Anolis sagrei: one gene and its partners. The protein of the gene in region 3 binds, or shares a complex with, the protein of the main gene of each other region. Links are inferred from orthologs where the notes say so. Each region holds a gene or a part of one and is shown on either strand. Other genes may lie near its edges.

Region 1 (7,216 bases), on a different chromosome or scaffold from region 3:
ATTCCTCAAAAATAACGAGGGCAAAAACTGGTTAAGGGGGCTACAATTCAGTACATGGGGCCAAATCCTAATGCAAAATAATAATAATAATAATAATAATAATAATAATAATAATTTTAGATAAAGAATAATAAGGCTGACACTATACTTTGGAATATACTTGCCTTGGATCTCTAGATGTTTAGCCTACTTACACTTTTTAAGTAAGATTTGAAACATCAGCCCAATGGGTCTTCTCCAGGTGAGACACAAAGCTCAGATGGGATCTGAAACGGAGATTCAACAACAAACAACAACTTTGGCCAAAGAATGTACCGAGCCCCAGCACAGCTTCTGTCCAAGCTACTCGCAGCCGAGATAAAGTTTATTTCAAGTGTCAGTATTTTATAGAGTGATTTCTAAGGCATATGCGGTAATCCTTATCTGAGGTCTATGTGACCAGGACGGAATGTTTTTAGGATTTCTTGTTGGAGGACGTCTCAGGGTCTGGCACTGTATATAACCGTAACATCTGGGCACATAATATTGTGGTTACAGAATTACTTGCATAACACAAATGACAGATATTAGTAAACAATGCAGGCTATGGGAAGAGACAACTATTGTCAAAATGGAGGTGGCCAGCCTCCCTATAACATATCAACATACAGCGGAATCTTTAATCTCTATTTTACACCAATATCACCAGCCTTAATCAAGACAGCAGATTGTGAGAGATTTGGGGATATGTATTCCCAAAGAACTGAAAGGCAAAAGGTACCCCTTGCTCTAAAGTTAAATAATTTGGGGACACCATGAAAGCTTAAGGAAGAACTACTGGAAATGCCCAACACTAGAGTCTCAAAAGGTAATATGAAGAACAGCCAAAAACAAATGGAAAGGAATGCAAGTTTCTCTCAAAACTGTTTAGGTCGCAACAGCGAACACTGTTAAGATTAATAGGAGCAGTTAAGACCAAACTTTGCGCAAACATTTTGAATAATGATGTGTTTGTTTTCATATTAAACTTTGGGGAATGAATCCCTTTACACTATTTTACTTGGGTTAAACATTGCTTATATATTCAAAGCTCAATTGTGCCACCTGGTGACTACTTCCTAAATTTACTTTTATTATTCATTACCACTTTTGGTTTGCCTGTACATAAAACTAAATGTTTCTGATAGTGAGGCCTGTTCCACACAGCTGAATAAAATCCCACATTATCTGCTTTGAACTGAAATATTTGGCAGTATGGACTCAGATAACCCAGTTCAAAACAGATATTGTGGGATTTCCTGTCTTGATATTCTGGGTTATATGGCTGTGTGGAAGGGCCCTGAGACTCCATTTTTTCTAAGACTTTTTATAACCGCCTGGAATGCTTCTCCTCCTTGTCCTCTGTCCAGCTAGATACCTTTTAGGAGCACCAACATTAGGAGGATGCTGAAGAAGAGCTGGAGAAACATTGAGTTGCAAGAGCATGTCTGTAGTAAACAATGCAATGAAGCCTGAGCTGGAAAAAATAGAATAGTTCTCCCATTTCTACTATTGGAATTGTATGAGCTTGCCTACGACTGACAAGGTAAACACTAGTTGCTTCCAGAAGCCTTCACTTAAACATCAATGAATAGCAAAACATAGAGGAAAGAGGAAAGATAACCTTGAACCCATTTACACTGCCATAGCGTGCAGTTCAATTGTGTAGATTCATATAATGCAGTTTAACTCTATTATTGCATTATATGAGTTTACACTGACCATTCTGTGGTGGAAGTTCCTTCTTTGGAGGCTTTTAAACAGAGGCTGGATGGCCATATGTTGTGGGTGCTTTGATTGTGCTTTTTCTGCATGGCAGAATGGGGTTGGATTGGATGCCCATGAGGTCTCTTTGAACTCAGTGATTCTATGGCAATGTAGATCCAACTTCACCAACCCGTAGCCAGGATTTTGAATTTTTTTGGGGCGGGGGGGGGGGGGGGTGAGTCTGAGTGAAAGAGGGTTTACCCTAGCAAATCTTTTGTATTGTTACCCCAATACCTCCATGCATATGGGATATATTGAGCATGTACCAGTAAGGCCTTCTTGCAGACCACCATGAGAATTTCGGGGGGGTTGAAGCCCCCCCCCCCCCCGGCTACATGCCTGAGCCTCAGCAACTCCCAAAATGTACTAAAGACCATCAAAATAAAAATCATATTTTTATCATCTGTTTCCGGCACAATTCAAAGTGCTGGTTATGACCTTTAAAGTCCTAGACGGCTCAGGTCCAGGCTATTTGGCTGACCACATCCCTTTGTACAAACCTGCCCTGGCACTGAGATCTTCAGGAGAGGCCCTTCTCTTGGTCCCACCTCCATTCAAGCGCAGTTGGTGGGAACAAGAGTGAAGGCCTTCTCGGTGGCTGCGTCTCGACTCTGGAACTCCCTGCACAGGGAAGCCAGAATGGATCCCTCCCTGCTGTCCTTCAGGCCTCAGGTTAAAACCGTTTTATTCAGGCAGGCTTTTAAAGAGGAAGGGTTTTAAGCTCATCAGGGGCTGCTGTGATTTTGTATGCTTTTAATTATGTTTAATACTGTTTTAATACTTGTACATTTGTCTATTTTAAGTTGTATTGCAATGCTTTTAGTCGTGAACTGCTTTGAGTCTCCATATGGTGAGAAAAAGCAGGATATAAATAAGTATAAGAAAATAAAGACCATACACACAGCCATGTAACCCAGAATATCAAGGCAGAAAATCCCACAATATCTGCTTTGAACTGAGAGCCCTTCCAGACAGGCTCTATATCCCAGGATCTGATCCCAGATTTTCTGTTTTCTGGCAGTCCGGACTCATATAATCCAGTTTAAAGCAGAAAACCCGAGATCAGACCCTGGGATATAGGGCTTGTCTGGAAGGGCTATCTGAGCCCACACTGCCATATAACCCAGCAAAAAGCAGAAATGTGGGATTTTATTCAGCTGTGTGGAAGAGGCCTAAGAAGAAGAAAAGTGACTTTTGTGAAACTGCCTGGATGCCTTTTGGGTCTTGGAGATTCAAACTGTTTTGGCTGGATCTACACCGCCATATAATCCAGTTTCAGGATGCCAATTAACTGCATTGAACTGGATTTAGGCCTCTTCCACACAGCTGTATGAGGGGCTGAGTTTGATTCAAGGGGGGGGGGGGCTGAAGATCTACCCTTGCAAACCTTTTGTCTCGTTATACCAATAGCCCCATGCATATGGGATATATTGAGTATGGTGATCAGATCATGATATGAGTAAACATAACAGTTTAAATAATGTACCAGTAAGGCCTTCTCACGGAGCACCATGAAATTTTTTTTTGGGGGGGGGGGTGGCCTTTGGGAATTTCAGCCCCACTGCCTGCCATCTGTGCTGCCTCCGAAAAATCCTGCAAATCTCTTGGGAAGACAAGCGGACAAACGTCAGCGTGCTGGAAGAAGCAAAGACCACCAGCACCGAAGTGATGGCCCTTTGCCATCAACTCTGCTGGACTGGCCACGTTGTCCGGATGCCTGACCACCGTCTCCCAAAGCAGTTGCTCTACTCCGAACTCAAGAAGGGAAAACGGAATGTTGGAGGACAGGAAAAGATATTTAAAGATGGGCTCAAAGCCAACCTCAAAAACTCTGGCATAGACACTGAGAACTGGGAAGCCCTGGCCTTTGAGCGCTCCAGCTGGAGGTCAGCTGTGACCAGCAGTGCTGCAGAATTTGAAGAGGCACAATGGAGAGTGAAAGAGAGAAATGTGCCAAGAGGAAGGCGCGTCAAGCCAACCCCAAGTGAGACCGCCTTCCACCTGTAAACCAATGCCCTCACTGTGGGAGAAGATGGAGGTCAAGAATAGGGCTCCACAGTCACCTAGGGATCCACAAGAATACTGATCCTGGAAGACTATCCTACTCGTCCAAGGAGGGATCGCCTAAGTAAGTATTCTGGGTTATATGGCTGTGTGGAAGGGCCCTGAGAGTCTACTGTGTATACAAATAAAGATATTCCAAATCTGGGTGGAGGGAGGGGGAAAATCCCAAACACTTCTTGTCTGAAGCCTTTCAGATCAGGGATGTTTAAGGCGTATTTGAGATCTTTGCAACCTTCCACACAGCTATACCCTTTTCCTCCTAGAAGTGGGCGGAGCGAAAGGAGCCAAGCCACTCCCAAGATGGCGGCCGCATCACCCTCACCGGAAGAGAGGCAGAACCACTTCCGCTTAGGGCTGTCTCCCAGTCTGGAGGGAGGCCTGACGCTTGTGTCGACTGCGTCAGCGTCATCACAGGGCGACGGGAGGGAGCGCGAGAGGCGCCTCGTGCGGGGAAGGGGGAGTGATCCCCGAAGACATTCGTCGCAGAAGGCGCGATGGCGGCGGAGACAGACGACGAAGGCGCGGTCCCAGTTCCGGCGGCGCTTCCTCCCTTCGGCGCCCAGCTGCCCTCTTTCGAGGCGGCGCGGGCGCTGACGGAGAGTCGCTACTCCTGCCTGGTGGTCATGCCTCATCGGAGGCACGTCGCCCTCCCGCCGCGCTTCCTCCACCGGAAGCGGACTGGGATCTGCCTCCAGTTGGACGCCGAGCTGCGCCGCTTCTCCGAGAGGTCAGGGCCCGGGCGGCGCTGTCGTGGAGGCCTCTCTTAATCCCCACACAGAGGCCTCAAGGCTGGTCTTGGAAAATTTAAACACTTTATAGCAGGCAGAGGCAAACTTGGGCCCTCCAGGTGTTTTGGACTGCAACTCCCACCATTCCTAACAGCCTCAGGGGGAAAAGGAAAGGGCCTGAGGCTGTTAGGAATGGTGGGAGTTGCAGTCCAAAACACCCGGAGGGCCCAACTTTTCTCCTATCTGGCCTAAGTCCAATTTTTTAGATAAAGTTTCAGTGGAGGCACCTTTTTGCCATGATAACCCTTTCAGGAGTGAATTTTCCTTCCTAGGGGTACTTTTCCCTCACTGTTGTCTTGCCCCTGTTCTTAATTATGTTTGTAAGTTGGGGGCTGCTTGTATATCATTTAGTGCTTATATCACATAGACATTATTATTATTATTAACTTTATTTGTACCCCGCTAGCATCTCCCGAAGGACTCGATGCGGCTTACAAAGGCCAAGGCCTCAAAACACAACATAACAATACAACACCTAAAGCAAATTAAAAACAGTTAAAGCAATATTAAACAACAAGTGATAAATAATACATCAAGACACTATAAAACTGGGCCAGGCCAGAGTAATGTTTACAAGGTTAAAAGTGCTGATGTGACAGGTGATATGTAAGGATTGTAGGGCAAGTGCAGTGTGCGGTGTGCAGCAATCTTAGTTCTAATAAAGTGCTTCTGGGACTTGTTATTGGAGTTTCCTATTCTGGAAAGGCACGTCGGAACAGCCAGGTCTTCAAGTTCTTTCTAAAGACTGCCAATGTAGGGGCCTGTCTAAGATCTTTGGGGAGGGTGTTCCAGAGTTGGGGGGCCACCACAGAAAAGGCCCTGTCATGCGTCCCCACCAAACGCGCCTGTGACGCAGGTGGAATCACGAGCAGGGCCTCTCCGGATGAATATTTATAAAATACATGTTTATAAAAGACCCCATAGACTGGATCTAAATGCAGACAGTTCTACTTGGGGCTCTTCCACACAGCCGTATAACCCAGAATATCAAGGCACAAAATCTCCCACAATATCTGCTTTGAATTAGAATATCTGAGTCCACACTGCCATCTAGTCCAGTTCAAAGCAGATAATGTGGGATTTCCTGCCTTGATATTCTGAGTAATATGGCTGTGTGGGAAATTAAGTCATGAGTAGGACATTACCTTGAAAGCGACAGGTCTCGTCTGATCTTGGAAGCAAAGCATTGTCAGACCTAAGGGCCAGAGGTTTAGCACAGCTGGTAAATCACCAGCAATTATAGGATCTATCAACTGAAAGAGTGCAAGTTTGAAGCCCCAGGTCAGTGTGAGCTGCCGACGGTCAGCCTAGCTCATTGCTTACCTAAGCAATTCGAAAACAGCTTTAGCTGTAATTAGAGAAATTAGGTACCGCTAAAAGTGGTGGTGGTGGTGGTTATGACACCATAAAGAAGATCAGAAAATGTTGGCGACCAAAAAGGAAGGAGGAAGTTGTGACGGCTTTTCGTCTTAGAGGATAGAGCAACAGTATCCCTGGACTCCAGTCCAACCTTCCATGGCACCAAAAACAGCTGGACACTGCATCGAAACAAACCACCTCCTTCTGTTCTGACTGTGTATTGTCTGTACAGAGCAGCATTGAATGTTTGCCGTGTATATGTGCTGTCATCTGCCCAGAGTCCCCTTCGGGGTGAGAAGGATGCAATATAAATAAAGTGTTGTTGTTATTATTATTATTATTATTATTATTATTGCAAAGCCTAGAGAAGACAATTATGCTGGGGAAAGTAGAAGGTAAAAGGAAGAGGGGCCGACCAAGGGCAAGATAGATGGATGGCATCCTTGAAGTGACTGGACTGACCTTGAAGGAGCTGGGGGTGGTGACGGCCAACAGGGAGCTCTGGCGTGGGCTGGTCCATGAGGTCACGAAGAGTCGGAGACGACTGAACGAATGAACAACAACATTATTATTACATGGATATAGGCATATATTGACAGAAGATTTGAAGGCATGCACACACATAGGGACCATTGCGAAAGGTGATGATGGATGATGTGACTTGGAGAGATATATGGTATTGTATCACTTCTTTAGGAAAGATCCTCAAGGGTAGGACCCTTTAACTCATAGCTGAAATCGTCTCTATATCATTTTAAGTAATTCTGGTAAACAATGCTACTCATATGCTAATGAAGGTGGTCAGCTGAAACATTCACACCTAGCTTCAGCAGAGAGCTCTTTGCCCCACCCCAGTCATTCCACAGATATATGAACCCATTTTCCTATTTCCAACAGACCTCACTACCTCTGAGGATGCTTGCCATAGATGCAGGCGAAACGTCAGGAGAAATGCCTCTAGAACATGGCCCTATAGCCCAAAAGAACCTACAAGAACCCAATGCTACTCATATCTGAACTTTTTTCCCCTTATAAACTCCACAGCTAGGTCTCTCTGTAGTTACATATGCGCGCACACACATACATGAATTCTGTAATCAAAAGTACCTGTTCTTGTTTCTACATGACACTCAGAAGAGGGCCAGGCAATCTTATCTGTGCAAACATTCTGTAAATAGGATTTGATCTCTTTTACTCTGGAAATCATTCATTGTTTTTCA
Region 2 (8,005 bases), on a different chromosome or scaffold from region 3:
ATTTCCCCCTATTAGCTCTAGCTTTTGCGATACAGAACATGCCATCTGCCACTCTTCATCCGCTTGCCAAGAGAAAATAATGATGACCATATGTAAGAAACTAGAGCTCTCCAATTCAACTTTCTGAATCAGTGCCCCAAATAACTCCAGGAATATACCAACATATGTTTTGAAGTTGGAAGTTTGAAAAAAAAACCTGCAGAGAATGTTCTGTACGGTTCCGGTCCAGTGTATCTGTCCGAACGTATCTCCCTCTACGTCCCACCCCAGAGTCTGAGATCATCTGGGGAGGCCCTGCTCTCGACCCCACCGCTATCACAAGTGAGGCTGGTGGGGATGAGGAGCAGGGCCTTCTCGGTGATGGCCCCTCACCTGTGGAACTCGCTCCCGGGAGAAATTAGGGCATCAACATCCCTCCTCTCCTTCAAGAGGAAAGTAAAGACATGGTTGTGGGACCAGGCCTTTGGGCAATTTGACAACTAGATAAGGACAATCAAATGACTAGGACTGACAATGTGGAATTGGAATTTGGGCTATGAGATAGTGAACGCTGACCGTCTATGAGGAGTAATTAGGTTTGTATCGTTTTATTGGTTTTAGGGCTGTAATGCAGGAATTGTTTGACTGTTTCAACTGTTTAATTGATGTTATTTTGTTTTACTACTGTTATGTGATGTTGGCATCGAATTGTGCCTTTGTAAGCCGCCCTGAGTCCCCTTCGGGGTGAGAAGGGCGGGGTAGAAGAAACCGAAATAATAAATTGTGTAATCCTGTGTGATGGAATTTCCTATAGTGTATTTATTTATTTATTTATGACATTTCTATGCCACCCTTCTCACCCCGAAGGGGACTCAGAGCGACTTACAAGATATACATATACATACAATATATTAAATTATTAGTATAGTACAATGGCCATCTGTTGGGGATGCTTTGAACTGTTGGGGGTGCTTTGAACGCGATTTCCTGCTTCTTGGCAGGGGGTTGGACTGGATGGCCCACGAGGTCCCTTCCAACTCTATGATTCTAATATTCTAATCAGTAGATAAATAAAGTAAGACATTGATGTTGCAGTCATAAGAACAGGTCATCACATCTCTGGGTAGATTGTAAGAAATCTGGAAGGCCCAAGTTTGCCCAGGCCTGCTCTACACCGCCAGATAACCTGGGATAAGCAGATAATCCGGGATATTATTATTAACTTTATTTGTACCCCGTTAGTATCTCCCGAAGGACTCGATGCGGTTTACAAAGGCCAAGGCCACAAAACACAACACAAACAATATAACACCAAAAGCAAAATTAAAAACAGTAAAAGTAATATTAACGACATGCAATAGACAGTATATCATGACACAATAAAAACTGGGCCGGGCCAGAGTAATGGGTACAAGATTAAAAGTGCTGATGTGGCAGGTGGTATACGAGGATTATAGGGCAAGTGCAGTGTGCGGTGTGCAATAATCTTAATTCTACTAAAAGTGCTTCGAGGACTTGTTATTGGAGATTTCCTATTCTGGAAAGGCACATCGGAACAGCCAGGTCTTCAAGTTCTTTCTAAAGACTGCCAATGTAGGGGCCTGTCTAAGATCTTTTGGGAGGGTGTTCCAGAGTCGGGGGGGCCACCACAGAAAAGGCCCTGTCTCGTGTCCCCACCAGCCGCGCTTGTGACGCAGGCGGAATCACGAGCAGGGCCTCACCAGATGAACGAAGTGCACGCGTGGGTTCATAAATATAAAAGCTGTAAATAAATAAATAAATAAATGCGAATATATACACACACAAAACACACAGACTGGGCCACTGCACACATGCGCAGAACCACATATATAGACAAACACACATATATACACATATGCACAAATATATACACACACAAAACACATATACACAGACTGGGCCACAGCAACGCGTGGCAGGGAAGGGCTAGTAGATAAATAAAATAAGACATTGATGTTGCAGTTCTAAGGACATGTCATCATATCTCTGGATAGATTGTAAGAAAATTGTATTGTCGAAGGCTTTCATGGCTGGAATCACTAGGTTCTTGTGGGTTTTTTCGGGCTGTAGGGCCATGTTCTAGAGGCATTTCTCCTGACGTTTCGCCTGCATCTATGGCAAGCATCCTCAGAGGTACTGTGGTCTGTTGGAAATAGGAAAATGGGTTTATATATCTGTGGAATGGCTGGGATGGGGCAGTTTCAACAGAAAGGAAGAGACCATGAAAATGAACAAAATCTGGCTACCAGTATTAAAAAACTCTAAAATTACAACAGCAAAACAGCAGAGAGGAAACAACCAGGCACATCTTAACACCTCTCAACAAAAGATTTTCCCAGGCTCAGCCAGGCCTTCAAATGCTAATGAAGGTGGTCAGTTGAAACATTCACACCTAGCTCCAGCAGGGAAGAGCTCTTTGCCCCACCCCAGCCATTCCACAGATATATAAACCCATTTTCCTATTTCCAACAGACCTCACTACCTCTGAGGATGCTTGCCATAGATGCAGGCGAAACGTCAGGAGAAAATATGCCTCTAGAATATGGCTCTATAGCCCGAAAAAAACCCACAAGAACCTTGTAAGAAAATCATTTGAAGTGCAAAACACCTGGAAGGCCCAAGTTTGCCTAGGTCTGCTCTACACCGCCAGATAACCTGGGATAAGCAGATAATCCAGGATATAGGCCAGTGTAGGCCCAGCCTCAGTGGGGTTGGCAGCAACCTGCACCCACAGGCCAGGCCAGGCCTCCCTTTTTCCCCCCGTTCCTTCCTTCCTTTCACCTGCACGGCCCGGAGCAGCCCATCCCCGGTGGCGAAGTCGAAGGACTCCACGTGGGCCCGGGTGACATCCTGCAGGGCTTGCCGCTGCTTCTCTCGAGGAAGGCCGCGCTCCGGCGCCGTCAAGGGCTTCAAACTCGGGGCGCCGGGCAACCCTCGCCACTTGCACGCGGCCTCCATGCTTCGGACTCTCAGAGCCAAGCCAAGAACTCCAAGAGCCAATCAGGAACCGGAACAGCCAACCAGGAACTGTAACAGCCAATCAGGAACTCTGAGTCCATGCTTCGAACTCTTAACAGCCAATCAGCCTCCGCAGTTTCCACCTTCCCCGGTGCATAAACAGAACCGCCCACTCCCGGCATGCCGTGCGCTGATCACTTCCGGAAATCTCTTATCTGTATTGAGGGCTCTGTAGGCACTAGCTGCTTCCCTCACAAGAGAGGGAGGTGTGTGAGGGAGCTCACTTAGAATCATAGAGTTGGAAGAGACCTCATGGGCCATCCAGTCCAACCCCCTGCCAAGAAGTAGGAAAATCTCATTCAAAACACCCCCAATAGATGGCCATCCAGCCTCTGTTTAAAAGCTTCCAAAGAAGGAGCCTCTACCACACTCTGAGGCAGAGAGTTCCACTGCTGAACAGCTCTCACAGTCAGGAAGTTCTTCCTAATGTTCAGATGGAATCTCCTTTCTTGAAGTTTGAACTTACTTACTTAGGCGATCCCTCATAGCCCGAGGATGATGGACTTCCAAGTGTATTGTGAAAATCGCATTCAAAGCAGCCCCGACAGATGGCTATCCAGCCTCTGTTTAAAAGCTTCCAAAGAAGGAGCCTTCACCACACTCCGGGGCAGAGAGTTCCACTGTTGAACGGCTCTCACAGTCAGGAAGTTCTTCCTCATGTTCAGATGGAATCTCCTTTCTTGAAGTTTGAACTTACTTACTTAGGCGATCCCTCGTAGCCCGAGGATGATGGTCCTCCAAGTGTATTGTGAAAATCGCATTCAAAGCACCCCCGACAGATGGCCATCCAGCCCCTGTTTAAAAGCCTCCAAAGAAGGAGCCTCTACCACACTCTGAAGCAGAGAGTTCCACTGCTGAACAGCTCTCACAGTCAGGAAGTTCTTCCTAATGTTCAGATGGAATCTCCTTTCTTGAAGTTTGAACTTACTTACTTAGGCGATCCCTCGTAGCCCGAGGATGATGGACTTCCAAGTGTATTGTGAAAATCGCATTCAAAGCAGCCCCGACAGATGGCCATCCAGCCTCTGTTTCAAAGCTTCCAAAGAAGGAGCCTCTACCACACTCTGAGGCAGAGAGTTCTACTGCTGAACGGCTCTCACAGTCAGGAAGTTCTTCCTAATGTTCAGATGGAATCTCCTTTCTTGAAGTTTGAACTTACTTACTTAGGCGATCCCTCGTAGCCCGAGGATGATGGACTTCCAAGTGTATTGTGAAAATCGCATTCAAAGCAGCCCCGACAGATGGCCATCCAGCCTCTGTTTCAAAGCTTCCAAAGAAGGAGCCTCTACCACACTCTGAGGCAGAGAGTTCTACTGCTGAACGGCTCTCACAGTCAGGAAGTTCTTCCTAATGTTCAGATGGAATCTCCTTTCTTGATGTTTGAACTTATTTACTTAGGCGATCCCTCATAGCCCGAGGATGATGGCCCTCCAAGTGTAGTGTCTTGTTGGTGGTTCCATAGGTGACCATGGAGCCCTATTCCTGATCCACATGTTCTCCCACAGTGAGGACATCGGTTTCGAGGGAAGGCGTTGACTTGAAGCACCTTCCTCTTGGTACGTTTTTCCCTTTCGCCCTCCATTTGTGCCTCTTTGAATTCCGCATTACTGATGGTCACAGCTGACCTCCAGTTAGAGCGCTCAAGGGCCAGGGCTTCCCAGTTCTCTGTGTCTATGCCACAGTTTTTAAGGTTGGCTTTAAGCCCATCTTTAAATCTCTTTTCCTGTTCACCAACATTATGTTTCCCTTCTTGAGTTGGGAGTAGAGTAACTGCTTTAGGAGACAGTGATCATTGAACATCAAGAAAACCAACGTGCTCTTAATAATAATAATAATAATTACGATTGTGTTAAAACACAAAGTATGGATTGTTGATGTTGCAATCCCAGGTGACAGCCAGATTGAAGAGAAACAACTGGAAAAGCTGACACAATATGAGGATTTAAAAATCGAACTGCAAAGACTCTGGCACAAGGCAGCCAAGGTGGTCCCAGTGGTGATCGGCACACTGGGTGCAGTATCTAAAGACCTTGGCACACTGGGTGCAGTGCCTATTGGCCTGTACTTAAACACAATCAGCGCTGACAAAATTACCAGCTGCCAGCTGCAGAAGACCACCTTACTGGGATCTGTTTACAGAAATGCTGATTGTTTGAGAAATCAGTGCTGCAAAGAGGAAGTTACTTTTCAAGGATAACAGTACATCCGGACAAAACCGACTAGCTGGTGGCTAGTTTGAACCCCCAAGTTTCCCAGTCGCTCTGGAGCCATGTTTGCAACAGACTAACAGATAAGACTGATTTATTAAGACAGTCATGTTCTGAGAACAATAGACTATAGTTGGGCCATTGTTAGGATCCCACGTGTGCTATAATGTCAATCAAAATCATAAACCACCAATGAGCAACTGTACAGCTAGCTTAGACCCATGACATTATTTGTCTTTGGGAACCAATTAGAATATGTATGCTAAAAATGATAAAAGCTCTACAGCCCCATTGGGGGTTGCAACAAACCCTTTGATTGCATTCCTGAATGCATGTTTTGTCATTATTGCTATAGCCAAGCAATAAATAGTTTGTTTTTGTTTTTTGCAGTTTAAAGATTCAGCTTTTGTGAAGTCCTTCCTCGTCCTCCCCATATATATATTTTTTGCCCCTACAATTCGTGCAGTTGCTTCCAATTCTTCATGACCTCATGGACCAGGCCAGAGCTTAATAATAATAATAAAACTTTATTTATATACCGCTCTATCTCCCCAAGGGGACTCAATGGATGCTTAATGCACAATATTTCCAGAGTCTGCAGCCTGTGCCATTGTAAGGGTCCAAGAATTCAGCACCCTGGAGAGTTCTCCTCAATGGCCTCACTTAGGGTGCATCTGCACTATACATGGGCCAACTTGGGCCCTTCAGGTGTTTTTGGATTTCAACTCCCACAATTCCTAACAGCTGGCGGTGAGAGAACCAGATGAATGAGTGAGTAATAGTGAGAGGGCTACCCAGAACCATCTAAATGGCTACAAAGCTGTCACAGATAATATCTGGCCCCACTCATCAAGCTGGACACACTCTTGACCTTGTTTTTGTGGCGGACAACGAAATGATCAGAGTGGAAGATCAAAACATCCTTCCAGTGTCATGGTCTGACCATCACCTGATCACATTTAGACTTACTGCGACCCTAAACCTCCGCAGGGGTGGAGGACAAATTAAGATGGTCCGCCCTAGGAGACTGATGGATCCGGACGGATTCCTGAGGAATCTTAGGGTTCTTCCTGCCTTGGAGTCTGGCGATTCTATCGACGCCTTGGTAACTCTCTATAATGGGGAGATGGCCAGGGCGTTAGATACGATCGCACCTGAACGCCCCATCTCGTTGCGTCGTGACAGGCCATCTCCTTGGTTCACCGAGGAGCTGGCTGTGATGAAGCATACGAGAAGGGGGCTAGAGCGCAAATGGAGGAAATCTCGAGATGTGTCTGATCGAACACGGGCTAGAGCCTCTCTTAAGGCATACTCCGTGGCTATACGGGTGGCCAGGAAATCATTCACGACCGCTCGTATAGCATCTGCAGCAAATAGATCATCGGAGCTGTTTCGGGTCGTGGGAGAACTCCTCCACCCACCTGCGGTGGAGGAGGTCGCTGATGACCCTGCAGCTCGGTGTCGCGATTTCGCACACCATTTTGCAGGTAAAGTCGCCCAGATACGTCTTGAGCTCGACTCCAATTCCATCGCAGTGCCAGGAGAGGTGACGGAGGCACCTGCTTGTCCAACCTTGTGGGATTCTTTTAGGCTTGTTCTTCCTGAAACCGTGGAGGAGATTCTTGGGGCTGTGAGAGCGACCACCTCATCTCTTGACCCATGCCCATCTTGGCTCATTAAATCAGCCAGAGGGGGGTTGCTTGACTGGTTTGTACCGATTATCAATGCATCGTTGGAGCAAGGAATTTTTCCATCTAATTTGAAGCAGGCCGTGGTTCGCCCACTTATCAAAAAAGCTTCCCTTGACTCCACGGTGCTGAATAACTACAGGCCGATCTCCAACCTCCCCTTTTTGGGTAAAGTGCTGGAGAGGGTGGTCGCCTCTCAGCTCCAGGGTTTCCTAGTCGATACCAACTACCTAGATCAGTCACAGTCTGGTTTCAGGCCTGGTCATGGCACTGAGACAGCCTTGGTCGCCTTGGTGGATGACCTCCGCAGAGAGCTGGACAGGGGGAGTGTGACTCTGCTGGTTCTCTTGGACATCTCAGCGGCTTTCGATACCATCGATCATGGTATCCTTCTGGGTCGTCTCTCCAGGATGGGCCTTGGGGGCACGGTTCTGTCGTGGCTCCAGTCCTTCCTGGAGGGACGTACCCAGATGGTGAAGCTGGGAGACGCCTGCTCTGACCCCTGGCCTTTGTCCTGTGGGGTCCCGCAAGGCTCTATTTTGTCTCCCATGCTTTTTAACATCTACATGAAACCGCTGGGAGAGGTCATCCGGAGTTTTGGAGTTGGGTGCCATCTCTACGCAGATGACACACAACTCTACTACTCCTTTCCACCTAATTCCAAGGAGGCTTCTCAGGTGCTAGACGAGTGCCTGGCCGCTGTGTCGATCTGGATGAGGAAGAACAGGCTGAAGATCAATCCCGACAAGACAGAGGTCCTCCTGGTCGACCGTAAACCGGATCGGGGTATAGGGTGGTCACCTGTGTTGGACGGGGTTACACTCCCCCTAAAGCCACAGGTCCGCAGTTTGGGTGTCCTCTTGGATTCTTCGCTTACACTTGAGGCTCAGGTGTCGGCGGTATCCGGGAGGGCCTTTGCGCAACTGAGACTTGTGCGCCAACTGCGACCATACCTCGTGAAGGCTGATCTGGCCGGGGTGGTCCACGCCTTGGTCACCTCTAGAATGGACTACTGCAATGCGCTCTACGTGGGGCTGCCCTTGAAGACGGCTCGGAAACTTCAATTGGTCCAGCGGGCAGCAGCCAGGATGC
Region 3 (7,141 bases):
AAAGGGACACATCTACGGCAAACATTCAATGCCATTATACAATGAACAAAGACAGACAGTACATAAACAGAGGTAAAGGCTTCCCATCTTTTTCCATCTCCTGCATCTGGAGGCTGTGCTCAACTCCAACCACGGGGTGTGTATGCTGTCGCTCCATCTTCCATGCCGAGGAGCTTTGTTGTCCTTTAGTCACTCTTCCAATAGAATCACCCGCACAGGTGCCTTTTTTTACCTCCCCGCCAAAGCAGTACCTATTTATCTACTCACATTGCTGTTTTCGAACTGTTAGGTGAGCAGAAGTTGGACTGATGGTTGGGAGCTCACCCCAACCTGGGCTTGAACTGTCAGCCTTTCAATCAGCAAGATTTTCTACAGCTGGCGGTTTAACCTGCTGTGCTAAAGCCCGCCCCACAAAAAACTCAACAGAAAAAGATGACTATCCCAAATCAATTTCCGTTTGTAATTTTATTCAAGTTTAGGATTAGCTTCAATGCAGATATTCTAACTCAAGTAAACATACAATTACATCTATTTCTGATGTACAGACACACACATATATATTACCTGCATAGAGTATTGCACTTCAGGGCTCCTGCACCAAAATTATTTCCTACATAAGAAAGTCTCTCTGTTTCTGCATTCTAAAAAAGAAAAAAAAGAAAGATTAATGATTTTTTTGGGGATAAAAATAAGTTTTAAAACTAAAGTAAATGCTCCAAAGGCTCAAAGTTTTTTCCCCACCACAAAATGGGAAGCCATTGGCTTCAAGCCTTTTCAAAGTACCCTAAAAGAAAGTGGAATCTTCATGTCAAACAGCCACACAATGTCAATCTATTTATTTTCTTCTCCTCACTTCCACTGCAGTTGATGCAAAACATGTAAAGAAATAATACGAGGGTGGGTCAAATAGTAATGCCTCCATCGCTCTAACTTTTATTTCTTTCACAGCTATTGAACTATGTGTATATGATATAACAGAGGTAACCTTACTCTACTGATTTAGTCTTTTCGTTTTCCAATTGACTGATTAGAACCATGAATCTGAACGTAAAAGAAAGAGCGGTCATTAAATTTCTGGCAAAAGAAGGTTTTACACCTAAGGGAATCCACCATTGCTTGAAGAATGTTTATGATTTGCCCCCTTCTGACTTTTACCTGTTTGGACCTCTGAAAGACAACCTATGTGGTTTCAGATTTAAAAACATGGATCACAAAGCAAAGCTCTGAATTTTTCCAAAATGGGTTTGATGCCTGGGTTGAATAATGGCAAAAATGTGTACAAATGGATGGTGACAGTTCAACTATGAACTGTAGCGACTGCTGTTATATGACCATTCATAATGTTTTTATGACACAGGAAGCAAAACCTTTTGACTCACCCTTGTACAATGGGAATGGTATGTCTGCACATGTCATTTATTTTAATCCATTTTCCAGACATGGATACTGAATAAGCAAATTTCTGTTTTTTAAGTTATGTCTTAAGGTACCCAGATTCCATGCTGAGCGCATTTTCTGTGACTTTAAGGTAAGCATCAGGAAGAGGAGGAATGTCCTGTCGCTAGAATATATAACAGGTAAGAATACTTGTGTGTGTGTGTGTATGTGTATGTATATAAACACACACATACATATATATATTCATGCACAGGCCCCGGTGGTGCAGTGGGTTAAACTGCTGAGCTGTGAAACTTGTTAACCGAAAGGTTAGTGGTTTGAATTGGGGGAGCGGGGGGAGCTCCCATTGTTATCCCCAGTTTCTGCCAACCTAGCAGTTCAAAAACATGCAAATTTAAGTAGAGCAAATAGGTACCACTTCTGCGGGAAGGTAACGATGAAAATTAATGAAAATTATTGGTGAGTATTTCAATTTCTAAATCCCCCCCTCCCCCGCCATGCAGTCATGCCATCCACATGATCTTGGAGGTGTCTACAGACAATGCCGGCTCTTTGGCTTGGAAGTGGAGATGAGCACCACCTCCCAAAGTCGGACACAACTAAACTTAATGTCAGGGGAAACCTTCACCTTTACTTGAGGCCATATCTGTGAAACTTAAATCTGCCATTTAAGGCTACAATCCTATATCCATCGAGGTGAAATAAATATCACTGAACACTGTATTTCTTGCCTCTGAAGAGACATTGACAAAATTGTTCCATAACAAAACTTCAAAATCTAATAATAAAATCATTTGAGCTTTGTGTAACCCTCTCATGTTGTTGTTGTTCATTCGTTCAGTCGTCTCCGACTCTTCGTGACTCTCATAAGTTTACCAAATAAAAAAGTGGGATAGCTGAGTAAGTAAGCAAATAAATACAATTCCTGTTCACCAGTCTATCAGTCAATTAACAAAGCAAGCTTGCTCTATACCAAACCTGCTTACCAAAGTTACTTTCTGCTTCTTTCTCGGGTTTGTGGTGTCTTTGTTTCTGTATAGGTTGAAAGTCATATTTTCAGAACTCTTCAGTTTGCCATTTGTGAACTGAACTGTGCATGAGTGAGAAAACAAAGGTAAGAAAAATTGTAACACCAGCATTTTAGCCTTTGTGAATGCTTTGTCATGCTTAAACTTAAACCTCTCCCCCCAGCATCAACTGCTGCTCTGGGCCAGACTGAAGAGAGAGGGGGACAGGGACAGTTCCACCTTGTCTCCTGCATATGTCATCAGTTGGGGACCTCTCTCCCAAGCACCAACAAGCCACAAATCCCAGGATCCCATAGCATTGAGACATGGCAGCTAAAGTGGGGCCAGGCTGCACTCCAGGCCTAGAGATCAGGGCTTATTTACTTCAATGACCCGGCCACGTGCTTGAGCCTTTGCAAGGGAGCCCTGGGTGCAAAGGCAAGACCAAACCAGGGAAGAATCAGCACTGAGAGCCTTTCTGGCCCCGATCCCTTACCGAGAGGGGCGCTCTGTCCTTCTTGGGGGTCCCCCCGGTAGCACCACCGAGCCTCCATGGCCAAGGATGCCTCTGTTTCCCCGCGTGTGTCCAGCTGCAGGAAGAGGAGTGGCTTTGATCCCAAGCAAACCCCTTCCGCCTGCGAGGCTCACTCCACGAAGCCTCTGTCGCCACCTGCAGGCAGGAAGGGGGAACTGGCTCGAGTCTCCTTTCCTCATATTTACATTGACAAAATGTAAACACCATGCAGGGGCAAACAGTCCTTTAGGCTGTTAGGAATTGTGAGAGTTGAAGTCCAAAACACCTTGGTAAGGGATCAGGGCCAGAAAGGCCAAAGTTTGCTCATGCCTGATCTACACTGTAGAATCAGTGCAGTTTGATCATGCTACAATTGCTATCCTTCAATGCTCTGGAATCATGGGATCTATAGTCTAGTGAGGCACCAGTGAAGACCATCAACACCGAAATACAACACCGCCTGAGCTCTGCGAGTGCAGCATTTTCCCGAATGAAGCAGAGAGTGTTTGAGGACCGGGACATCCGTAGGGAGACCAAGGTGCTTGTTTATAAAGCTATTGTCCTCCCAACCCTGCTATACACCTGCGAAACGTGGACTGTCTACAGACGTCACATGCAACTCCTGGAACGATTCCATCAGCGCTGCCTCCGGAAAATCCTGCAAATCTCTTGGGAAGACAAGCAGACAAATGTCAGCGTGCTGGAAGAAGCAAAGACGACCAGCATTGAAGCGATGGTCCTCTGCCATCAACTCCGCTGGGCCAGCCACATTGTCCAGATGCCTGACCACCGTCTCCCAAAGCAGTTGCTCTACTTTGAACTTAAGAACGGAAAATGGAACATTGGTGGACAGGAAAAGAGATTTAAAGATGGCCTCAAAGCCAACCTTAAAAACTCTGGCATAAACACTGAGAACTGGGAAGCCCTGGCCCTTGAGCGCTCCAGCTGAAGGTCAGCTGTGACCAGCAGTGCTGCAGAATTCGAGGAGGCATGAGTGGAGGGTGAAAGAGAGAAATGTGCCAGGAGGAAGGTGCATCAAGCCAATCCCGACCGGGACCGCCTTCCACCTGGAAACCAATGCCTTCACTGTGGGAGAAGATGTGGGTCAAGAATAGGGCTCCACAGCCACCTACGAATCCACAAGGAAACCCATCATGGAAGACCATCTTACTCGTCCAACGAGGGATTGCCTAAGTAAAGTAAGAAGACCTTTGTAAACTATAACTTGTTGGGGGAAGCAACTTTCTCAAGCCTCCTCTATATGATGTTTGTCTGTTTTGTAATACATATACCTGAAGTATATGTCTTACTTGATTTGAAGTTTCTTTATCTCTATATACCGAAAGAGCAATGGGAGGGGCTGCAAGTCACATGACTGACTCAGTGATCGTTTAGACCAGGGGTCCTCAAACTAAGGTCCAGAGGCTGAATGCAGCCCTCCAAGGTCATGTACCCAGCCTTCACTTAGGGTCAGCCTAAGTTTGTAACGACTTGAAAGCACACAACAACAACAACAACCCTATCTCATCAGCCAAAAGCAGGCCCACACTTCCCATTGAAATACTAATAAATTTATATTTGTTAAAATTGTTTTTCATTTTAATTATTGTATTGTTTTTAAGTGGTATTTGCACTACAAATAAGATATGTGCACTGTGCATAGGAACTCATTCATGTTTTGTTTTTGTTTTCAAATTATAATCCAGCCCTCCAACAGTTTGAGGGACTGTGACCTGGCCCTCTCTTTAAAAAGTCTGAGCTCTGTTCAGGTGTAAACAGGATGACTGTTAGGGAATGTCAGTTGAGGAATGAATGACTCTTAGAGAAGTGTGTTAAGCCTTGAATGAGCTTCAGTATAGAAGTCTGTAAGAGTTCAGAAGCTCATCTTGATGTCGAACCTGAATTTGAGAGGCTCTGCCTAGGCAGAGACCGGCCAGACCCAAAAAGAGGATCTGGAACACCTGGCGAGACAGCAAGCACCAATGAAGATTTTCTCTAATTTTTCCCAAAATAGTCTCACCAAGTTGAAGGAAAGCCACCGAGATGTTTATTTCATTCCAGCTGGCACGGATGACGACCGCAGTAATCTGTCCAGGAGCTGACATAACTCACTGGGCAGAAAAATACAATATTTATAGCCTTCAGATTCAAAAGTTCCCATGCCCACCCTGAGCTGGTTTTGTAATGAGTGGCTGTGACGTCAGCAAGCCAGGAGGAGATCCAAGGAGTGCCCTGGCCCTGCTTTATCTGCCCAGCCAATGAGGTGGAAGGGAGGCAGGCAACGGGAAAACAATGAAGAAATGTCTAGTTGACTGGATTAAGAATGTCGAGTGTTTACCAAATGACCTGGCGATAGCTTCAGGCTCTCAAGCTTGGTCTGAGTTATTTTTCTGTTTCTTGAATTAACATTTTTGCCTGGCCCTGAAAGGCCAGGTCCTTTGTTTTTACTATCGCGCAATATGGAGTTCATTGATGAAACAGAGATGAGTTTTGGAGATCCAGATGTGGCACAGCAAGGATGCAGTGACAAATCCCTAGTTCCTCGTAGATGAGGAAATGTCCTTGGTGTTGAGTGATCCAATATGTCCACAGACTCCCTTAATCTGGATGACCTGGCTATCAGCCCTCCGATGTCCAGATATATAGAGTCATTTATCTATTGTCCATGCAAATGGATCTGGTTGAATCCTTTGTTAGGGGATTATCAGCTCAGGCAGTTTGGAAACTCCAAAAGCCATGAGTTGCTGGTTTATGAAAAGGTTGCTTTCCTTCATATTTTCTTATATAGACATATATACATATAGGGAATGAGGAATGGGGCAAGGGAACATACACAGAGTTCACAGGAAAAGGGGGAATCATGCAGGGTCTAAGGGGAAGTCAAGTCACCCCCCCCCCCCAAGTCCATAAAAATTTGGCAAGAGTTTATAGAAATTCCTATAAAGCTCATGAAAGTTCATAAGAACTCATAAGAGTTCATGGGGGAGGGGTGCATGGAAGCTCAGGGGAGCACTGAGTAGTCGGGAGTCCATTCATAAAAACAGAAAGAGAGATAGGGATTATGGGATCCATTCAGCCTGGTGTCCTTGGCAAAACCATGAATTCCCTGATTTTGAACTATCTTTTACAGAGCCCTGGAAGTGGAGGGTCACCTCCAATTACCATCTTAGGAAATTAGAAACTGTTGAGGTGTGTGTTTTATTTGAAAGTAAACTCTTATTAAAGAGAGCTGTATAAAACAACATAGTTTATTAAGGAACTGTTAAAGGTTATAAGTTCAAGATACAAACTCTTTGAAACGTTACTGAAGTTTTTAACCCTTGACAAGAAATGTGCCTGTATCTTTAAATACGTGAAGTTATCAGTAAACAAAACTTGTTGTCTTTAATAGAAGTCTGGTTGCATCATTTTCTGTTGAAAGTGTCATACCAAAACAAAATATCTACATGCCCAGCGACCATCCATTACCAAATAAACTCTGCTATCCTAATTAGATTGTGATCCTAACAGTTCATGATTTATACCCCGATGGTCAGTGATCCTAACAGGTCATGATCCATTATCGCCAATATAACTCCCATGATTTCATCGCATTGAGCCATGGTAGTTAAATGAAGGTCAAACTGCATTAATTCTATGATACGGATGCACCCTTGGGTAGGTTAATGTTACTTGCTAAAACCTTTAATGGAATGTATGTGAGAAATCCCACTCTTGTCCCTATTGTTAAGCTTTGGAAAAATCCTTTTGAGTATTTGAAAACCCAATTTCTTATCCACTTAACTGAAAACCCTTCCCTTCCCTTATTATAATTTTGTCTCATCACCCTTTCCCGCTCTTCAAACCTGGCAATTTGTTTTAATTGCTTTTATCATTTATTATTGTTGTTGGCACTGAATGAATGCCTGTTGTGAAGCCGCCCTGAGTCCCCCTCCGGGGGTGAGAAAGACGGGATACAAATATGCGAAACAAATAAATAAATAAGTTATATGGCAATGTGGACTCAGATAAGCCAGTTCAAAGTAGATATTGTGGATGATCTGCCTTGATACTCTTGAGTTATATGGCTGTGTGGAAGGGCCCTGAGACAAGGAGTGCGCAGAAATTGTTTGGCCATGTCCTTCCTTTGAAATATAGCCTACAGGACTTAGTACTCCACCCAAGTACCAACCTGGACGGCTTAGCTTCCATGAGAAAAGCAGTCCCCAACCTGTAGGCCTCT
Region 4 (6,927 bases), about 130 Mb from region 3:
AATAGCACAGCCTACATGGCACTACACCACCAGTCCTTTTGACACATCTTGTTCTCCCTTTGGAATAAAGCACAATGGGGAACTTGTGGCACCCCCAAATATTGATCAAAGACTTCTTCTATCATCCATCATCACTGATCAAGCTGGCTACGGTTGATGGAAACTACAGTCTAAATGGCCACAGGTTCTCCAGCCATGATAAAAGGAAATAGGATTTCATATGTTTTGCTATAGACACATGAAATTATTAGCATTATAATTACTCATTTCACTTCCCCATTCACTCACCAGTGGTCCTTTGACTGCTTTTCCTCCATCCACTTCCGAAGATGTGGTATCTGTCCTGTTGAAGGTGACTGATGTATCAATAACTCTCTTTTCAAATTCTGTGAAGTTAATAAACACATGTGTAGATAAGAAGCATATGTACTCTAACTCACCCATTTTTAAAAAACATGTTTACTAAATACCCCACCTCCGGTTATGGAATATTCTAGAGGCAGAAAGCCCTTACCTTGCACATCAATGAAGAAGGCGCAATAGCGACATGCCACCTTATCCTGAAGACCTGGTAATGGAAGGACTGTACCACATTCAGGACAGAAATCTAGTTCTGACTCAAAGCAGGAACTATTCTGTTCCATATTGACCAAGGAGAAGACAGACTGTAGGAGAGGGAAGATGTATAGGTTGAGCATCCTTTAATTATAATTCCTGTGCGATTAGAATCCCTCTGTATCCAGAGAGCCCACATCAACAGATTCAACTATACATGACTTGAATCTATCGATCTATCTATCTATCTATCTATCTATCTATCTATCTATCTATTTATAAAGGCTATGTTCGTTTTGAGTAACATCACAACTCAAAAACCGCTGGACTAATTGCCAGCAAATTTGGTCACAAGTTACCTACTAATCCAAGGAGTGAGCATCACTAAAAAATTAATCTTGTCATTTGGAAGTTGTAGTTCCTGGGATTTATAGTTAACCTACAATCAAAGAGCATTTTGACCTCTCCCAACGATGGAATTGAACCAAACTTGGCACACAGGACTCCCATGTCCAACAGGAAACACGAGAAGGGTTTGGTGGGTATTGACCTTGAGTTTTGGAGTTGTAGTTCACCTACATTCAGAGAACACTGTGGACTCAAATAATGAAGGATCTAGACTAAATTTGGCACGAATAATCCATATGCCTAAATGTGAACACAGATGGAGTTTGGGTAAATAGACCTTGAGTTGTAGTTACTGGAATTTATAGTTCATCTATAACCAAATAGCATTCTGAACCCCAGCAACGATAGAATTGGGCCAAACTTCCCACACAGAACCCCCATGACCAACAGAAAATACTGTGTTTTTTGGTGGTCTTTGGCAATCCTTCTGACGCCCCCTGACGACCCACCCAAGGGGTCCCAACCCCCAGGTTGAGAAATGCTGTGTTAAGGCCATCTAGTCCAACAACCTTCACCAGGGCAAGAAAACATAATCAAAGCCCTCCTGACAAAGAGCCATCCAACTTCCCCAGCTTCCTGAGCTGAGGGTTAGGGTTAGGGTTCCACATCTGAACATTAGGAAGAACTTCCTGACTGTGAGAGCCGTTCAGCAGTGGAACTCTCTGCCCCGGAGTGTGGTGGAGGCTCCTTCTTTGGGAGCTTTTAAGCAGAGGCTGGATGGCCATCTGTCAGGGGTGCTTTGAATGCAATATTCCTGCTTCTTGGCAGGAGGTTGGACTGGATGGCCCATGAGGTCTCTTCCAACTCTATGATTCTATGATTCTATACACACAGAGACATATGTATATGACAGATATTGTATCATAGATTTTCAAAAGGTCCCTAAAGAAGAACAATTATATGTTGCATGTTTCAGAGTAGGCAAACCAGACAATCAACACTGACAAAGAAACAACAAGAAATACTATTTACCTGCAAGCATAAAGAAATTACATCATTATCTATATAAATAAAAATGTAATGTTCGTTTTTGATATTCATAGAACTCAAAAACCACTGGGGGAATTGACACCAAATTTGGACACAAGACACCTAACAACCCAATGTATGTCCTTCACTAAAAAAAAAAATATGATTTTGACATTTGGGAGTTCTAGTTGCTGGGATTTATAGTTCACCTACAATCAAAGAACATTCTGAACCCCACCAACGATGGTATTGAACCAAACGACACACAGTTCTCCCATGACCAACAGAAAATACTGGAAGGGTTTGGTGGGCAGTGTCCTTTGGTTTTGGAGTTGTAGTTCACCTACATCCAGAGATCACTGTGGACTCAAGCAATGATGGATCCACAACTCTACAAGAATACTCAATATGCCCAAATGTGAATACTGGTAAAGTTTGGGGAAAATGGAATCTTGACATTTGCCGGGATTTATAGTTCACCTACAATCACAGAGCATTCTGAACCCCACCAACGATAGAATTGGGCCAAACCTCCCACACAGAACACCCATGTGGGCCACAGCAACGCGTGGCAGGGGACGGCTAGTTATATATTAGAAACCAACACTTTCTCATTACTTTGTTTTCCAGATCACTAGACTGGGCCACAACAACACATGGCACCAACACACACACACATAATTTAAAAAGCAAGAGCCCTGATTTTACTATTTTATATAAGCAACTATGCCATTGTATATACAGCATTGGGATTAGAGAATGCATGGGCAAACTTGGGCCCTCCAGGTGTTTTGGACTTCAACTCCCACAATTCCTAACAGCCGTAGGCTGTTAGGAATTGTGGGAGTTGAAGTCCAAAACACCTGGAGGGCCCAAGTTTGTCCATGCCTGCCTTAAGAGCTGGTGTCTCACCAAACTTCAAATCCCAAGTGTAGATGCACACCTAAAAAGCAAAAAATCTTAAGTAAGCTCTGAGCCTAATCTAATGAACAGCCCTGATTCTTACCGACTCTAATCCAGGTGCTCCACGTGGGTTCACAGGCAGAACTCACTTCCTTTCTCGGAGAGACGAGCTCGGAGGGAACTTGAGCTAGAGCGCCTCCACTCCATGAGCACTTCCGCTCTGTTTCAAAGCGGAGATACAGTGTAGCCAGTTCTATGGGAGCTTAGCACGTTTGATTATTTAGTTTAGTATTCTGTCCCTTTGAACACACTCAATGTCTTCTTCCCCTCCGTCTTGATTCTCCTTTCTCCAAATAATCGGGATTCAAATGTTCTTTTTTATTGTATTGTTTTAACTGACCACCTTAATTAGCATTTGATGGCTTGACAGTGCCTGGGGGAATCTTTTGTTGAGAGCTGATTAGATGTGCCTGATTGTTTACTCTCAACAAAAGATTCCCCCAGGCACTGCCAAGCCATCAAATGCTAATCAAGGTGGTCAGTTGAAACATTCACACCTAGCTCCAGTGGACAAGAGTCCTTTGTCCCACCCTGGTCATTCCACAGATATATAAACCCCCTTTTCCTAGTTCCAACAGACATCAAATGCTAATTAAGGGGGTCAGTTGAAACATTCACACCTAGCTCCAGCAGACAAGAGTCCTCTGTCCCACCCCAGTCATTCCACAGATATATAAACCCATTTTCCTACTTTTCACTACCTCTGAGGATGCTTGCCATAGATGCAGGCGAAACGTCAGGAGAAAATGCCTCTAGAACATGGCCATATAACCCAAAAAAACCTACAACAACCCAGTTCTTTTTATTTTTGTAGACAGTCAGATCTCTGTATCCACGGGTTCTGTTTCCACGGATCCAGCCAAACATAAATTTAAAATATTCCCCCCTCCACACTAAAACAAAATCTCAAAAGCAATAATAACTATCATACACCCCTAGAGGACTCATCATACACTTTATTTATATTTCGCCCTTCTCCCCTAGAGGACTCAGAGCAGATTACAGCATCTACATTTATTGATTGATTGATTTACCATATTTATATACCACCTTTCTCAGCCCGAGGGCGACTCAGGGCAGTTTACAAACGGCACAATTCGATGCCCCCAACAACATAAAACAATTAAAAACATTTGGCATAAATAGTAAAAACCAATAAAAACCAAAATCCTCAGCATCTCATTACTAAAATCATTATCCAATCATTATCCAGTAGAATACCAAGTATGCAAACTTTGTGTGTTGTTTGTTTGTTTGTTTGTGTTTAATGCAATACAACTGTTTTGGTTTGCTCCTGACACGATATATAAATAATTATCCAATTGCATTGTCGTTCCGTAGATCAGAGTTGTCTGCTACACTGCATTTGGAAATGCTTGCTCAAAAGGTCAAGTTTTAACTTTTTTGCGAAATTATAGGAGGGTGGGGCCGATCTGATATCCCTAGGGAGGGTGTTCCACAGCCAAGGGGCCACTGCTGAGAAGGCCCTGTCCCTCGTCCCCGACAACCAAATTTGTGACGAAGGCGGGACCGAGAGCAGGGTCTCCCCAGATGATCTTAGAGTCCTAGATGGTTCATAAGGAGTGATACATTTGGATAGGTAAGCTGGGCCAAAACCATTTAGGGTTTAATAGGCTAAAGCCAGCACTTTGAATTGTGCCCGGTAGCAGACTGGCAGCCAGTGGAGCTGATGCAACAGGGGGGTTGCATCAGGGGAGTGCTGCTCCTGTTAACAACCTGGCTGCCGCATGCTGGACCATTTGAAGTTTCTGAACAGTCTTCAAATGCAACCCCATGTAGAGAGCATTGCAGTAGTCTATACGGGATGTAGCCAGAGGGTGGATTACCGTGGCTAAATCAGACTTCCTAAGGTATGGGTACAACTGGTACACAAGTTTTAACTGTGCAAATGCTCTCCTGGTCACCGCCAAGACCTGGGGTTCCACACTCAGTGATGAATCTAGGATCACTCCCAAGCTGCGAACCTGCAATCCCCCGTGTATCCCCGTCCAACACAGGCTGTAACCCTATGCCCTATTCAGCCTTGCAACTGACCAGGAGGACCTGTCTTGTCTGGATTCAGTTTCAACTTGTTCGCCCTCATCCAGACCATCACAGCCATTATTATTATTATTATTATTATTATTATTATTATCCTTCTTAGTAGCAGGCAAACATAGGCAAATAGTCAATGCATTTACAATCATATACAATGAGACACATAAACACAAACAAAGGCAGAAGCAAGTTTTGTTTTTGCCATTTTAGGCAAGTGACATTTCACCATGACATTGTATATAACACTATGTAACATTTTTTTAAAAAAAAAATCTGTTTCTGGTTTGAAAGTGTTTCCTGTTTAATAGTACAGTACTTACTTGAAAGTAGTTGTCATAGTCCAGAAACTTCGTTTTTTGTGACTGCCACGAACTGTGTTGAATTGGTTGAGATTTGATGAGAAATTGAAAAACTATAGCAAGATGTGTTGCAGGATGTCCCGCAAAAAACGAAGTTTAATAAACCTTTTCCACGATCTTATGATAGAACCAATTAGAAAATGACATTTATAATCCACGAACAAAAATAGTGTAATGGGACTTGTACACCCATGGATTTTGGTATCCAAAACCCAGTGAATGGCAAGACCCTACTGTACAATCAACAGATGTAAAGAGGCATTCAGTCACACATTTTGTGGAACCAATCTAGAGACACTTTGTCTCAATCTTTCTCTCTACTTCTCTGGTTGGATCTACACTGCCCTGTATCACAGATTATCTGCTTATCCCAGGTTATCTGGCGGTGTAGACTCATATAATCCAGTTCAAAGCAGATCATCTGAGATAAGATCCTGGAATATAGGGCAGTGTAGATCCAGCCTCAGGCCTCTTCTCCACTGCTATATAATCCAGTTCAAAGCAGATAATCTGGATTTTATATGGCAGTGTAGAAGGGGCCTCACTCTCCCTGGGGACTTTATGTTATAGCAGGGCTTCTTAAACTTTTGCACCTAGGAGACCCCTTTTAGCCCAGTCATATTTTATGTGACCCCAGATATATAGGTATACAAAATTGGTATAAACATCAAAAATGTACTGGTAGAAAATTGGGATTTGCAAGGTTGGCTAAACATGCTGGGTTTCCTTTTTATGAAGTACAGCTGAAGCATCTTCTGCAGAGACTACTGTAAACACTGCACAACAGATTCATGTAAATGGCATTCAGAAAGACTTTTACTGTTGCCATTTGCAGGGGGGGGGGCACTCCAGCATTGAGCTCAGGGGACCACATTTGAGGTTGGGCCCAATTGTTTAAGAACCAATGTGTTATTAGGATAAGATACAGGTATTATTAACAAACCATTCAAATCACTGCATTCTCAGGCCTGGCTACCATTCCATTCCTGTCTATCACTTTGCTTCCTATCACTTTCCATCTCTCTTGGCAGATTGCTACAAGTGAACATTACCTCCTCCTGCATATCAAAAGTTTTGTGCATTTTTGTCAGTCATATTCCCTAAAAAGTGTATTCAGTGCTTCAGACTGAAGTTTTTGCCATTTATTTGAATAATGCCACAAGGTGGCACCAACTCTGGAAAAAAAAAGCTGTGCCTTTTTAAAGTATACTTTTCTCCTCAAAGCTAATCTCAGTTGGGAGATTATCAAAACACATCCAGTCTGTCCCATCAAATCTTGGAAGCTAAGCAGGCTCAGCCCTGGTTAGTACTTGGACGGAAGTACCACCAACAAATACTAGATGCTTTAGTCTCTATTTCAGAGGAAGGAACCAGCAAAACTATCTTTAGTATTCCTTTCCCAAGAAAGCCCTATAGAATTCATGAGGCATGATGAAGGCACAATACAAGCATGGACAAGGCCAGAGCTCTTTAAAGTTTTCCCACTTGCAGCCCCTTTTCCCCTGAACTTTTTTTTACATGACCCCAGATATATAGGTATATAAAATAGATATAGAAAGCAAATGTTTATTGAAAGAAATTTATTTTAAAACAACTCTTTGGTTTACATATAATG

What was found.
Region 1: POLR1E (region 3) and POLR1F share a complex: the UniProt entries of both Homo sapiens proteins name them as parts of the RNA polymerase I (Pol I) complex. The link is inferred for Anolis sagrei from reciprocal best matches to the Homo sapiens genes POLR1E and POLR1F.
Region 2: the proteins of POLR1E (region 3) and POLR1B are in contact, whole or in part, in a cryo-EM structure (PDB 8A43), measured with the Homo sapiens proteins. The link is inferred for Anolis sagrei from reciprocal best matches to the Homo sapiens genes POLR1E and POLR1B. Residues at the interface, in NP_071935.1 of Homo sapiens: Gln27, Ser29, Asn30, Gly31, Tyr69, Thr76, Leu79, Lys80, Cys81, Leu84, Cys85, Met109, Gln110, Pro111, Leu112, Phe113; in NP_061887.2 of Homo sapiens: Lys254, Ser258, Phe259, Ser260, Tyr262, Gln263, Gln266, Ser295, Thr296, Gln297, Ser338, Thr340, Glu341, Ala532, Cys535, Pro541, Ile542, Asp543, Gly544.
Region 4: POLR1E (region 3) and POLR1H share a complex: the UniProt entries of both Homo sapiens proteins name them as parts of the RNA polymerase I (Pol I) complex. The link is inferred for Anolis sagrei from reciprocal best matches to the Homo sapiens genes POLR1E and POLR1H.

The regions. Positions count from the first base shown.
Region 1 is NC_090026.1:94,695,041-94,702,256, forward strand, and holds the start of POLR1F (DNA-directed RNA polymerase I subunit RPA43), read left to right. Parts: upstream 1-4,213; 5' UTR 4,214-4,343; coding exon 4,344-4,576; intron 4,577-7,216. UniProt on the Homo sapiens protein: Component of RNA polymerase I (Pol I), a DNA-dependent RNA polymerase which synthesizes ribosomal RNA precursors using the four ribonucleoside triphosphates as substrates.
Region 2 is NC_090021.1:24,390,876-24,398,880, reverse strand, and holds the start of POLR1B (DNA-directed RNA polymerase I subunit RPA2), read right to left. Parts: upstream 3,005-8,005; 5' UTR 2,959-3,004; coding exon 2,782-2,958; intron 1-2,781. UniProt on the Homo sapiens protein: Catalytic core component of RNA polymerase I (Pol I), a DNA-dependent RNA polymerase which synthesizes ribosomal RNA precursors using the four ribonucleoside triphosphates as substrates.
Region 3 is NC_090022.1:152,394,602-152,401,742, forward strand, and holds the start of POLR1E (DNA-directed RNA polymerase I subunit RPA49), read right to left. Parts: upstream 3,010-7,141; 5' UTR 2,960-3,009; coding exon 2,902-2,959; intron 2,489-2,901; coding exon 2,385-2,488; intron 642-2,384; coding exon 565-641; intron 1-564. UniProt on the Homo sapiens protein: Component of RNA polymerase I (Pol I), a DNA-dependent RNA polymerase which synthesizes ribosomal RNA precursors using the four ribonucleoside triphosphates as substrates.
Region 4 is NC_090022.1:23,171,501-23,178,427, reverse strand, and holds the start of POLR1H (DNA-directed RNA polymerase I subunit RPA12), read right to left. Parts: upstream 3,019-6,927; 5' UTR 2,939-3,018; intron 666-2,938; 5' UTR 645-665; coding exon 515-644; intron 387-514; coding exon 289-386; intron 1-288. UniProt on the Homo sapiens protein: Core component of RNA polymerase I (Pol I), a DNA-dependent RNA polymerase which synthesizes ribosomal RNA precursors using the four ribonucleoside triphosphates as substrates. Can mediate Pol I proofreading of the nascent RNA transcript.